Arabidopsis thaliana: one gene and its partners. The protein of the gene in region 3 interacts with the protein of the main gene of each other region in a biochemical or structural test. Each region holds a gene or a part of one and is shown on either strand. Other genes may lie near its edges.

What was found. The genes of interacting proteins can lie anywhere in the genome.
Region 1: the proteins of CAM8 (region 3) and EP1 form a complex in vitro, tested with the Arabidopsis thaliana proteins (one large-scale study listed by BioGRID).
Region 2: the proteins of CAM8 (region 3) and RBK1 form a complex in vitro, tested with the Arabidopsis thaliana proteins (one large-scale study listed by BioGRID).

What each region holds. Positions count from the first base shown.
Region 1 is NC_003075.7:12,133,332-12,137,389, reverse strand, and holds EP1 (receptor-like protein kinase-related family protein), read right to left. Parts: upstream 2,418-4,058; 5' UTR 2,186-2,417; coding exon 1,388-2,185; 3' UTR 594-1,387; downstream 1-593.
Region 2 is NC_003076.8:3,319,277-3,324,723, reverse strand, and holds RBK1 (ROP binding protein kinases 1), read left to right. Parts: upstream 1-1,813; 5' UTR 1,814-2,074; coding exon 2,075-2,087; intron 2,088-2,237; coding exon 2,238-2,690; intron 2,691-2,768; coding exon 2,769-3,026; intron 3,027-3,115; coding exon 3,116-3,270; intron 3,271-3,366; coding exon 3,367-3,446; intron 3,447-3,531; coding exon 3,532-3,670; coding exon of another isoform or gene 3,671-3,697; exon of another isoform or gene 3,698-3,755; coding exon 3,756-3,905; intron 3,906-3,984; coding exon 3,985-4,140; 3' UTR 4,141-4,715; downstream 4,716-5,447. Other genes in the region: AIL6 (AINTEGUMENTA-like 6), read right to left, coding at 4,716-5,266, 5,352-5,447.
Region 3 is NC_003075.7:8,395,673-8,400,726, forward strand, and holds CAM8 (calmodulin 8), read left to right. Parts: upstream 1-2,039; 5' UTR 2,040-2,127; coding exon 2,128-2,206; exon of another isoform or gene 2,207-2,290; coding exon of another isoform or gene 2,291-2,315; coding exon 2,316-2,473; intron 2,474-2,894; coding exon 2,895-2,975; coding exon of another isoform or gene 2,976-3,023; exon of another isoform or gene 3,024-3,033; intron 3,034-4,186; coding exon 4,187-4,324; 3' UTR 4,325-4,554; downstream 4,555-5,054.

The DNA of each region.
Region 1 (4,058 bases), 3.7 Mb from region 3:
TCATAAGTCCTTTCGTGTTTTCACCCGGATATGAATCTACAGCATATAAGTTTTAATATTTAAAGTTAATATCGGAATATATAAACATGAATTTGCTATATGAATGTGAAATATTTTGACATCATCCGAATACAATGTGTTTTAAAACGAATTTTGCATCCATAAGCTCCATCTAGCTAGTTGCAAAGGTGAGAAATATTTCCTTTTTGGTTCTCAGCTTCTCATGACTATTCCAAAACGAGAAAAAAGGCAATCAAAATTTTTAAAGGCATTCACATATACATAAGGAAAGAGAAAATAAAACCGAGAAGTATTTTATGTTTGATGTATCTCCGATCCTAGTAAAGGCCCAAGATATTGATGCAAGGTATATGAGACCTAGCTCAGCCGTGATTTCTCCGTGAAGAAGACTCAGCTTTGTTAATAATTGAATGAGGCGGTGTATGATGCCAAAACCCTAGTTCGTTCTATTTGATTTTAATGATATTATTCAAAACCCTAGTTTTTAAAAAGTAACTAATTTTTTTTCGTTACTGCCAAGGAAAAACAATCGGCTTTTCATGCAACAAATCTCGTTAAAATTGGTTATGGGCCTGCATGTGAAAATGGAGCCAGAACCAGAAGAGGACTTGGTCAATGCATCGAGAACATTTGCGTAATATTCTTTTTTTTTTCTTTTTTAGTAGTTTTTAATCATCAGCGTAATCTAAGACTCCGACCAAGTCTTACACAAAACAAAAAGAAGAGAAGCTGAGAAATCTGACAAGGAATTAGAAAATGAAAAAGAAAGTTTTTTTCCATTAGTAATAACAGAGGAAAAACTTATGCTTCTGTTGGTTCTCCCTTGCATCTCGCTTTCCTTAGCTCATTTTTACTGTTACGGTGTTACGCACAACTAGAATAATCACTTGGAACACTCAGAATGTTGCAGCGGGCCAGTTCAACGATCAGACGAAGTAAACATCAAGATAGCAAGAGCAACCACTATCGACGACGAATTCAGTTTGTGAGGAAGAGCGTTGGTGTAGCTTGAGACACGTTTCAATCACGTGTAGCTAAAAATATCTAGATAATTGTAATAGAAAATAAATTAAATATTTTATGTATTAATTGGTTTAGTATGAGAAAAGCCAAAACATTGACCAAGTCTAAGATTAAGAAAGCTAGATGAGCAATTCACTATCAAAGACGAGAAGACTGAAGTAAAGACAAAATAAGAAGACTCATTAGCTGCTTCACAATCCTTATCTCTTTGATTGTAAGAAACTGAGTTACTTTATTTCGATGATACCAATTTTAAACGCAGAGAAAAAGCAACACGTCAATTTGTAAAGCAGAGCAAAACGAATTACAACTTGGCCAAAACTTCGACGTAAAAAGCAGCACATCAATTTGCTCTGCTTGGCGACGGTGGTGGTGGTGGAGATGGTGTTCCAATGGTAGTTTCGTTGTAGAACGAGTAAAGCTCGTACCTTGAATTACAACTTGGCCAAAACTGTCTTGCTCCAATTCTAGAAAGTGGCATTCTATTGATGGATCTTGTCAGACATCTCAAACAGTCTTGACTTGTAAGATCAGGAGTGCATTGAACAAGCCCGTACAAAGTCTGGAGTTCGGTCAATTCGGTCTTTATCGTAGAGAATTTTCTAGAACTGTTGGCTGCTTCCATGGCAGCTTGGTTCATATTAGATTGCACCAAAACTATAAACTGGTTTATTTGACTTTGATTAGGAGAAATAGTGTTGGTGTTACTCAAGATAAATTCTCCTTCGTTTGTAATGGCCGTCGATAGAATATTCTTGTCAGAGTATCTGAGTATACACTCCTCGTAATAGAACACAGCTTCTCTCTGACTTGGACACCTAGTTAACGCTTCGTCAACGGAGAAGGCAACGCAGTTACTGCAAACTTCCGGCGAGAGGTCTCCGCGGCAGAGGAAAAGTCCGGTGACCAGGTCGGGGGTTTGTCCCACCGTGACGTTCTGGAATCCGGTGGAGTAAGAGGCGTTGCGGGAAGCAAAAGAGGACAAAAGGGTTCTGAGATTGGTGGAGTAAGTGCTGAATCTTGAGTAAGTTGTCGTATTTGGACAATAATGATTTAAGTAAAAAGGATCTTGAGCGGAAGCTTTGAAGCTAGTGAGGAATGAGAAAAGGAAAAGGAAGATAAAAGAGATCAGAGAAGACATGGTGTTTTTTTCGACTTCGTTGATTTGAGTTTCACATCATGCAGCTTCCATTTATTAACGTGAATAGTTTGTGACGACCATAAGTCATCAATCAAAGTCAATGTAAACGATTTTTTTTTATGTCATTCCTTTTTATTAACAACAAAAGTCAAATTATTGGAAAAGGCCTTGTTGAAATAACCTATTTTGTTTTATGAATAAGATTACAAGCAACTGATATCTCGACAATAATTTAGTGAAACTAAACTTTTTGAGTAAGAAAATTAATTAGGGCTACAAACTGAATAAACTAGGGTTGTGAAATTATTGTTTTAACTTATAACTGTTCGTTTGTTACTTGTCTGGTAAGGAACTTTAACTGTGCTGTCTTTTTGACCCAAAGTCTCGGCGCCAAGCGGAATAATCATCAACCTCACTTCAATAATATTCAATTCCAACCCATATTTTTCTCGGAAATAGATTGATAGACGTCAAAACATAGAAAATTTATAAATCTATTTTCTCTGGTTGTCACTTCCACGTGTTTTAGTCTAACATTTGAATAACAATAAAAGTTGATGTTCATCATATAGGTGACTTTGACTTTCAAAAAATTGTATTAGTTAGTTAGTTTATAACAAAGTAAGAAAAGAAAAAACTTTGACGTGCTAGATGGTTTCACATTTCATTTATTTTACTACTTTTACAAATCATGTAAATCACCTTCCCACATTACTCTGTTTTCCCTCTGTTCCCAAATCAGAAGGTACAAGATCATTGGAGGTATTGCTAAAGCGATTATATATCTTCATCATTCACGACTCTCAATCAGACATTGTGACTTCAAAGCAGGTAATATCCTCATAGACGCTGAAATGAAATCCAAAGTTACAGATTTTGGATTGGCCAAATTTTTAGAATGGACCAAACTTTAATGCCAATTGCCAACATTCTAAGTGTTCTCTCCATTTCTCATTTCTCTCCATATCTAATTATTCTTTAATAAAAAATCAAAACAAAGTACACATATGGTTTTAACAAACCAAATCAAAACTAAACAATTTATTGGGTTGATCACACCTAGAAATATGAAAATATATGCTTAAACTTCATTACAACCGTGAAGGTAAACATCATATTTAGCGCGGATATAAATCAGTGATCAATTCATCGTCAATAGATGCTGGAGTAGACTTGGTCGTGGTAGACTGATCTGAATCAGTCGGGTCCTTTACGGGACTACTTTGAATGAAAAACCCTGGTTGCCGAGGCACTGGTAAGGTCACAGTATTACTAGTGAGCATCATGAAAACGGTTGATATTGTCGGACGCTTTGCAGGATCTTCTTGAACACATAAAAGACCGATATGGATGCATCGAACCACTTCGCTATTCTGGCAGTTATTTGCTATAAGTGGATCCACGAGGTCTAATGCTGTTCTGTTAGTCCAAAGCCTCCAAGTCTAGAATATCAATCAATAAATCAGTTCTAGCTACTAACGTTACGTGTTGTAATGTAAGAGAGGTATATATTGATTGCCTAAAAACTTACATGTGTGAGCAAGTCTTGTGCGCCGTCTGACTCGTCGAAGCTACTATTCTTCCTACCACTTATAATCTCAAGAACTAACACTCCGAAGCTATAGACATCAGATTTCATTGAGAATTGGCCATGCATCGCATACTCGGGAGCCATGTAACCGCTGGAATCCACAACAAAACTTTAGTATATATGTTGGCAAAATAAAATTTCCAACAAACTTTAACGTATGAGATGTTAGGTGGAACACTTACTAGGTACCAACTATTCGGCTTGTGTTATCCTGGGTTTGGTCCAATCCGAAGATCCTAGCCATTCCAAAATCTGCAATTTTCGGATTTATATCCGCATCTA
Region 2 (5,447 bases), on a different chromosome or scaffold from region 3:
CTATCCACTGAGCTACAGACGCTTCTTTGGGAGTTAGAATCATAATATTAATAATGAAGAATAAATGTCAATAGCATTGAGCCATTGAGAAAATCGGTTGAACTGACTTCTCTAACTGAAAATTCACATTGGTGAGTTTGGTGGCGATTTAATTTTTGGGCGTATATTATTTTTTAGAAAATTAAGATAGAAATTAATGGTTGTGGTAGTATATATTAACGGGTTTAGTTCACCAACTAACACAATTAATCTTCCCTACTTACACTGCGATCGTTTGTTTTTATCTAGTTCTAAATTACTAGAACTAGTTTACTTCAGACAACAAACTTTATAAGTAGAAAACCGAGTCATTGTAGATTATTATATTTGTAATTTACTTAATGATGTTACCATGAAAACTATAAGTAGTATATATAAGAATTTTCTTTTGCGTATGGACTATATACGTCTGAGAAACAAAACCTAACTGTTACTAATGGAGTTTCAATGTAATGAATTGAGTTTGGACTTTGGCGTTTTGAGATAGACAAGTACTAAACATTTCACTTGGGTTTGTCTCACGGAAAGGTGGTTGATTTTAATGCCTTCGGGTGATAACTCTTTTTTTTTTCTCCACGCCTTAGGTGATGGTAAACTCATAAAGTCATTTTAATCCTCGAAAATTAAGGATCTATCCACGCCTCATATTATAAAGTAAGATTTGTGTTTATTATGGCATCCCATATGGCCATTGGTGCAAGTTTGAGGTGGGTCCAAATTGTCACGCATGAAAAATTGACAATGGTTACGTTGAGAAAGAAAACTACTAAAATAGTAGTATAGTTTATTCGTAAACCAAAACAATTGTAGCCATCATTACGAATGGATAGCTCTTGTTATTAACTTTCAAATAACAGGGATTATGTAGTAGAAACTTGTTTTTTTGTATTAGTATTATGGCTCGAAAGTGATAGTATTTGTGAATACAAATATTCTAGTAATAGTTGAATATTAAAAAATCATATCAATGATACGATGGCTTAATTTTGTAGTCAAATTTGTCTGCCATATGTTTCCTCTCTTTATGCCGCCACGAAAAAATTGAAAATATAAAGAAGAAGAAACAGACAGCACACTCACAATTTGTCGAATTTTTAACTAATGATTTTGTCAACTTCTATAAGTGCAAATCCATATTTTTTATTCCTTGGTTATAGAATTTTATTTAACTTTTACTAATTTTCGTTGTTTTAATAATTTTAAATCATACTAGCAAAAAATGTCATCCAAAATTAACTAAAACCTAATGTTCCGACACTTTCAATCTCATTCTACATGTAAACAAAAAGCTCAAAAATGTAAGAAAAAAATAACAAGGTTTGCTAAATTAGAAGAGCTATTTAATATCACATGCGCTATTTAATTTTCTTTTTTAATCACGAATCACGAATTAGCTATTTTGCGGAGAATAGAATTTGAGTGAAATATAATCATAACAAAATCCCTTTAATATTAACTCTCAATTCATTACAAGCAAAGGTGATGTCTTATTTTATATGACGAAAATGCCCACAAACCAGCCAGATATATCAACCGTTTGAGTTCTTTACATCGTAAATGCGTTAGTTACGGCAACAATCTCTAATCCTTTCATCTTCCTCAAAATTATTAAAATCATAGGACTACTAATTTAGAAACAAGAAATTACAAAAAACAAAACAAGAAAAACAAAACTTGACTTGACTTGCAGTTGAAAGTAAAAAATAAAAACAAAAGTTGAATTGCTACGGTGGAGTTGTATAAATATAGCAGAGATTCCAATCCATCTCCACTCAGCAAAAGCTGACTCTTCTTCTAACTTTCTATTTCTTCCAAGAATAACAAACTTTTTTCTCATAAGAAACAAAACAAGAATTCTACAAAACTTCTCATTAAACCTCTGTTTTCTTGTTTCTCTTCTGCTCTGTATTTTCGATAATTCTCTCTGTTTTGTATCCTTTCTTATTTTCTGTGAATCTGTTTTTTTATGGAAATTTAATTCAAAGGCTTATTAGAGGAAGAAAGAAAGAAAAAGAAAAAAAAACCCACTGGAGCTATGGCTGTTGAAGGTAAACCTAAACATAAAATTTGTTTGCTTTTTGTTAAGAAAGTGGGGGAAAAAAATAAAATCATTGATGCAAATTTATTTTCTGGGTTTATGAAAATTTACGCAGACATGTTATAGAACTGACTTTTTGTATTCCTTGTAACATTAACAGATAACAAGAACAGTGAAAGCAAAAATCATCAAGAGGTAGAGCTTCATAGGAACGACTTAGGCCTCGAAGATTCATCATCGCCAAGAGGTGTTCTCGGAATGGTTTCAGATTCCGACAACAGCAGCAGTAGTTGCAGCTCTTGTTCCTCTGATGATAAATCATCATCAACATCGTCACCATTTTCAAATACTACTAAAACCGTTTCGTCTTCTCACCATGGTCTTCAATGGAACAAAATGATTGAATCTATCAAGAAGAAGTCCATGAGACGATTCTCTGTCATTCCTCTTCTTGCAAGTTACGAACTCACCCGTAAAAACTTGCGTCGTAAGCAACCTAAGCTAACTCCCTCTGAGAGTGCTTTCACCTGTGAAGCCTTCTTTATGGCTAAACCCTCTTGGAGAAACTTCACTTACGAAGAGCTCGCTGTAGCCACCGATTATTTCAATCCTGGTATACACAAAAACGCAAACCCTTCTTCAATAGATTTTGGATTGAGAAATTTGAGTTTTGGTTTTGTTTTTTTGTTAGAGAACATGATTGGTAAGGGAGGACATGCGGAGGTATACAAAGGGGTTTTGATTAATGGTGAGACGGTGGCGATTAAGAAGCTGATGAGTCACGCCAAGGAAGAAGAAGAAAGAGTGAGCGATTTCCTTTCAGAGCTCGGTATAATCGCACATGTAAACCACCCAAACGCAGCTAGGCTTCGCGGTTTCAGCAGTGATCGCGGTTTGCATTTTGTTCTTGAGTACGCTCCCTATGGCAGCCTCGCTTCTATGCTTTTTGGTATACTTAAAAGTCTCCTTCTTACTGAAAATCTTGTGTCTAGTACTTTTTTCTACAATGTTGTGATATTGTCTCTTTGATCTTTGTAGGATCAGAGGAATGTCTAGAGTGGAAGATAAGGTATAAAGTGGCTCTAGGTATAGCTGATGGTCTGAGTTATCTTCATAATGCTTGTCCAAGAAGGATCATTCACCGTGACATCAAAGCTTCTAACATATTGCTCAACCACGATTACGAAGCTCAGGTAAATGATCTTGACAAATGACAACATCTCTAAACATTTTCTTGGTATTTGGTTGGTTTGAGAACCATTTACATATTGTACATTTTCTCAATTCAGATTTCAGATTTCGGACTTGCAAAATGGCTCCCAGAGAACTGGCCTCACCATGTTGTATTCCCCATTGAAGGAACATTCGGGTAAAAGAGAGAAAGCTTTGTAACTATCCATGAACAGCTTTGCTGATCAAAACTATAGGTTTCATTGGGTTTTTTCTCCCTTTAGATATCTAGCTCCAGAGTATTTCATGCACGGCATTGTTGATGAGAAGATTGATGTGTTTGCCTTTGGAGTATTGCTTCTAGAGATCATAACCAGTCGCCGAGCTGTTGATACAGCAAGCAGGCAGAGCATTGTTGCATGGGTAAATGCATCAGTGACTCTTTATTGAGACTCATCAAAAGTTCAGCTTGAGATCTTTTGTTTACCTTATTGATTTGGTTATACAGGCAAAACCTTTTCTTGAGAAAAATAGCATGGAGGACATTGTGGATCCTCGGCTAGGAAATATGTTTAATCCAACAGAGATGCAACGAGTGATGCTAACAGCTTCAATGTGTGTACATCATATTGCCGCAATGCGACCTGACATGACTCGGGTATAGTACCTATTCTTCCCATGTTCATAGAGCCAAAACAGATCTTTGGTATCGGTTTTGATGTGAATTCTTTGTGCAGTTGGTGCAGCTGTTACGTGGAGAAGACGGACCAGCTGAGCTACAGCAGAAGGCAGGTGAAAGAACAATGAGCGTGAACGCTTGTGATCTACAAGATCACACCTCTTCCTCATACCTCAACGAACTCCGCCGCCATAGGCAACTCTTAATGGAGTGAGTAGAAGCAATAACATCAACTTAAAGAACTGTTTATCAACCTCTTTCTTTTTAGATTTTTATTTTCTTGACTTGAGTTTTGCTTGTTATTCTCCATTGGTTGCTTTTTTTTCTTGTCCAACCAAACTGTGAATATCTTCAACTTGTGTCTCTCTGTTGCTTCTACTGAACTTTGTTAGTCTCAACCTCTCGGTAGAGTTGTCAATTTGTTACCAATGAGCTCACAAGTAGATAGATATCAAACAAATAGCAACACAGAACTTTCTGAAGATAATTTTTTCATAAATGGAAACAGAGTACACTGCGGATAAGCTGATAGCCTTATACATACAAGATACAAAAGAAACCATCCCCCCTAATTCCCAAAAACTACCATTTTTCTCCACCGAGTTTAGGTTTAATACATTCTTCCACATTTCCAACCCCCAACTACTCCTGCCTAAACAACAACAGTTAATCAAAAACAAAAGTGAGATTTTTAAGATTCTTCTAGTCAGCTTATGTGTTAGCCAGAATCAAGAAGTTGTGTCTCTTATAACGATAAAAACTTGACTCAATCAACTTATATGATTGGTTTTAGTAAGACTGATTAGGCCAGAGGAAGAACTCAGCCGGATTTGGTGCCATAAGTCCCATTGTTCCCTGAACGTTGGAGTTGTTGTTAGACCCGGTCGAGTCAGAAGCTGCATTCGCCGGAAAATGCTGGAAGAAGTTCTGTTGCTGCTGCTGCTGTTGGTGTTGCTGTTGTTGTTGGTGGTGGTGGTAAAGAGCAGCTGCTTCAAAAGGGATTCCACAAGGAATGATCTGTTGAGACTGAACTGCTGAATTAGGACAGAGAGCGAAGTTAATGCTACTGTGATTAGGAGATGACTGAAGCTGAAGCTGTTGTTGTTGTTGTTGTTGCTGGAAATGGTGAAGTTGATGATGACCGAGGATTGGTTTCTGCTCTGATGAAGCAGCAGCTTCCAAAGAGAGCTTAAGACGTTTAGCTGCACCACCGATGGGAAGTGCACTCTTCATGATGGCTTCAACGTCGTAACGGTTCATCTCAAAGTTAGTTACAGCGTTTATTCCTCTGAATTTGATTGCTGCTATGTCATACGCTTCAGCTGCTTCCTCTTCCGTTGCTACAACAACAACACCAGGACTAACTAATTAACCACAGACAATGATTGTTAAATTAGCTAGACCAAGTTTGAAGATTTTACATACCAAAGGTTCCAAGGTAAAGATCTTTGTTCCCAGCAACTCGGCCAATCCTTGCTTGCCAACGTCCTTGTTGATGATGCCTTGTAACACCTCGGTATA
Region 3 (5,054 bases):
TTTCCCACCTAGGAAGAGTAAAAATGCAAAGATTACTAATGAAGAAAAGCCCCATAATTTTGTTTTTTTTTTTGTTTTTACAATTCGTTTCTAGAAACTCAAAATATGAAAAGTTGAATCGTTTCAAAAAGAAATTGCTGGTTCGTTAATTTGCTACGTCTAATCGTTTATTTATAATTATTTTCTTATATCGTGCTTATGAACTTATAATGCAACGTATGATACATGCATTTCCCCTACTGTTCGAATACCAATTGCAGATTCAATGCAAGTCAGCAAGTATCTCCTAAATTATTTCTTAGCAGTAGATATTCTTCTTAATGATTACAATCTTTTAGCAGTAGATATTCTTCTCAATTATGATATGTGACGTGGAATATATATTTTCATCTGTTATATAAAAACAGTCGCAATTATTCAAACAAAATGTATAGGAAAATAAATAAGTGGTGTGAATATGTGATTCAAATGAATCTGTAATATTCTCAAAATTCCTACCTCCGTGAATTCTAGAAAATGTCGTCGATCGGAACAAATTTGAAAATAGAATGATTTGTGTGGATAAACTTTTAAATCATTGTGTGGGAACGCACGGATTCTACAAAATCATGCTGGCCAAGTTAAGCTTCATAGCCTTAATGCATTCACAGCTATGGACAGTCGAGTTGTACGTTAATATGTCTTCTATGGACAGGAGCGGGTAAGATGGCCAATGAGGTCATTATGTTGAGATGTACGTAGACAAATTTCAATGTTGTTCTTTCTGAGTATTAAAAGAGTGTGATCACTGATTTTGAAGTCAGAAAAAACAAAAGAACATGTTTAAAGCGTCAAGTTTATCGCATCGTCTCGGTTCTCAGATTGTGTATTTGGTAGCTGCGGTGGTGGCTAAATTGCGGTCTCTTTTGTTGACATCACTTGTATTTCTTGACTAGTTATTTGTGCTACCTGGTTTTGAATGTGTCTTGCTAGTGCGGTTCTTCATAATTGAAGTTAGTGCTGCAATGAGTTATCACCTCTTGTTGCGTTTGTTTTGTGTTCTAGAAGAGTTAGTAAGATCGATGGTGTTCGATGTGGTTATGAATCGCATAAATCATGCTCTGCTCTATCCGACTTTGGGGAAAGAAATTGGTAGATGGAGCTTGCATCGTTCGCATAATTTGGTTCTTGAGGTTCCATATTATTGGAAAGCTTATGGACTTGAACAACGAGTCACTGTCACATGACGCGAGAGGAGTTTATGCCAGAGAACTTTGAGTTTCTACCGTTGACGGCTCATCCTTAGACCTCCAATTCAAAGTTTTTAATGCAAATAGTTTAGCATTATGCTTTTTTCAAGCAGTAGTTACCCTTCTTCTTAAAAAAACAAAAAACAAAAAACTTAATTATAAGATAAAATTTCAAAATAGTCATATTTTTATCTAACTCGTTCGGCTTCAACGCTTTGGTTGAGTTGATTGACCAAAACTTGTGAATCACGATGTATGCTTCTATGTTTTATTTTTCTTGTTATAGGATCATTTGTATAGGCTTAAAATCTTTTGATTGTAAATTTATATTTTTATCATTTCAATAAAATATTTTTATTTTTATTTAAGAAAAAACAGAAAAAAACAAAAAACAAAAGAACATAATTGTTGCGTACAAAATGAGTGGCTAATGGGTTTGAACTAGACAGAAAAAGTTAGGGACGTTTTATCAAAGACTATTGTAGGCTTATACTTGTTTGTTTTAGGACTTGTCGTTCTATGTCTATTTGTAGTAGTCTCTACTTGTTAGAATAAGATGATTTTTTCAAAACTAATTTTGCACAAGTGATTTGAACTTTAACAAACAGCGACAATTATTAATTTATTATATGGGATTCAGCCATGTGACTAGAATTAAATTGTTCAATCCAAGAGTTCTAGACCCAAAAAAAAAACAGTACTGCCCTTTCAATTTAAAATAATTTGAGAATCAATTAAAGAGCTTAAAGTAGTTGAAAAGTACATAAGTCCAATGTAGAAAAGGTCTTGTCACAACTCTACATATAGACCATAAATCAGAGATTTAAGCACTTCAAACCTTGAGCTCCCTCCTCTCTCTCTCTCTCTCTCTTTGTCTTCAAAATATTCTCAGAAAACAATGGAAGAAACAGCACTGACAAAAGATCAGATCACTGAGTTCAAAGAAGCCTTTTGTCTCTTCGACAAAGACGGCGACGGTTCTCTTCCTTTCTCTAGATGGTCATATATAGAATAAAGATAATAAAGACGACGACTAATATTATGTTGTGTGACATTTATTTATGGTTGTTTGGAATCCTTTAATAGGTTGTATAACGGTGGAAGAACTTGCAACAGTGATCCGTTCGTTGGATCAGAATCCGACAGAACAAGAACTTCATGATATCATCACTGAGATTGATTCTGATAGCAACGGCACCATTGAATTTGCTGAGTTTCTCAACCTCATGGCCAAAAAACTTCAGGTTCCACTCTCTCTTGATCTCTCATGCTTATTTATTTCACAACTAATTACATCAAGTTAACGTAGCCACGTACAAACCAAAAAGTTACATCAAGTGAAATTTTTTTGTCTATATGATTTCTTATATATTATGTTATAGGTCCCTTATTGTAACTCTTTGATATGGGATCCTAACAGGTTCTAGTCAAAATGGAGCTGTCTCATTCATTATGCTTCTAGTTTATTAAAAACTCTTAAGAAATATATTGGAAATATTCAGCTTTTGTATTACAGCAAAATCTGTTTTGCTTTCGGTTTTTCACTACGAATAAATCTGATTTGTGAAGAACTAGACACGTAAATGTGTATAATGTAAACAAAGACTTTTATGACAATAGTTTTTTTGTATGTTAAGTTGTTGTCATGATCATGTGATGGTTTAGGAAAGTGATGCGGAGGAAGAGCTGAAAGAAGCATTCAAAGTCTTTGACAAAGACCAAAATGGATACATCTCTGCCAGTGAGGTCCGTGACTCTTACTCTCTTTTTTTTCTCTCTTTATTACTAATTTGATATATGTGTCAATGTGTATATTTAGTTAGATATATGCTTGACTTATTGAGAACTTAAAAGGGAACTTATGCGGAAAATCCTCTTTAAGAACTTATAAAAACAAATTAGTTCGATGCACTGGATTGCGTTTTGTACAACGTTCTCCAATAATACCATGTACGGTCTAACTGTGTTTTTATTTGGTTATAAATGATTAGAGCTATAATTATTTAGATTTTTGTATCTACTAGAAATCCTTATCTAAATTTTGGTTATTGTCAAATTTAGTTTAGGTACATGAACCAATTTCATAAATGTCTTCTTTGCTTAAGTGGTACATGCTCTATATCTCTAAAGTGTCGTCAAATACAGGCTAAGCACAATAATTATGAGCATAGTATTTTTATGTAACCACTTGGACCAATTAATTCTGCATTAACTAGAAAAAACGAGAAATCCAGCTAAAACACACTTTCACATATGTAGAATCAATGACAAATATCAGACAACAAAGCCAGACGATCTTCCAATTTAAAGAGATCCATAGTTGTCTCATTTATGTTCTAAAACATTTTTTAACAAGACATGGCCATTTATTTATTTGATTTTATATTTTCGAAAGTCTGTTTTCCATCGTGAGGGCTTAGAGCTAGCTGGCATTGTGAATCTTTAGAGAATAACGAAGAGGAACAAAAGAAATTTTAATACAAAGTAGTTAGATAGAGTAAAATGCGTTTGATTTTATTGGTTTATTTGACAGGAGGGCACATGTTTCACCTAGTTTAATTAAATATATATACCTTTCTTTACATCCTCAAAAGTTACATTAATGCAGACACCTTTTTGCATGCAACACAATTCAATTTATTAATTTGGGGTTTTCTATATCGATTGGTCAAAACTTAGGCTAAAACCAGCTGTATTTTGCTTACAACTTAAAAAAAAAAAAACTAAACAATTGTATGAATTTGGTTTATTCATATTTTTCGTACCGAAATTAGAAATTGTTCAAGTTAGGCCGTTTGACCTACTATATTGTATTGCATATTCAAATGGATAATAAACAATTATTATTCTCTGTACAGGGTCAGACCCGTCTGATTAACATGCACAACTTAATTTACAATAATTAGACTAACAATTACGTTAATTATTTATTAATTTGAAAAGCTTTGTTATTGCAGTTGAGTCATGTAATGATAAATCTAGGAGAAAAGCTAACAGATGAAGAAGTTGAACAAATGATAAAGGAGGCAGATTTGGATGGTGATGGCCAAGTCAATTATGATGAATTTGTCAAGATGATGATCAACATTGACTGATTACTTTTTCTAAATCTATTTATTATATAAGCCAATGATCCTTAATTACCTTGTTAGTTGTTACTACTTCGTGTTCACACCATCTCAACAAATTCTCCATTATTCCACATTCATTGAAATTTTCAGATCCAGTTTTGTTTTATCACTTGTGAAGCTGTCAAATCCAATATAATCTCTATATTATAGCTTTCTCTATATGATTTTGGAATTCTGTTTATACATAGTTTGTTTCTATATTATAGCTTTTTCGATATGATATTTTTCTTCTTCTTGCAATCTTTGATTATAGGTGTTTCAATATGATTTTGGAATTATATTTAGCGAATGAATACGAAACACAATTTTTTTTGTGGAAAATGCAAAAAATCTTAAAACAAAGCAGCATATTGAGTTTATGTGAATGCTAAAGTATTTGGATATTATTTTCCTCATGAAAGTGAGGAGTTGAACTCCTTCACTCAAACGAAAATATCTAATGGCTAAACCACTAGTCTAGACACTTTAAAGAATAATTGAAAATGATTTATGTAAAAAAAAAGAAAAGTGAGACTGTGAGAAAGCCATGCCCATATAATATTTAGTAAGAAAATAATAATAAAATTACAGGTAGTAAAAAAATTTCCACACTTTATCAAAAACCCCTCAAACAGAAAATCCCAATTTAAGTATACAGAAAAGAGAAAACCCAATCCACACTTTCACTTATTTCCTCCCAATTTCTCAGAATAAT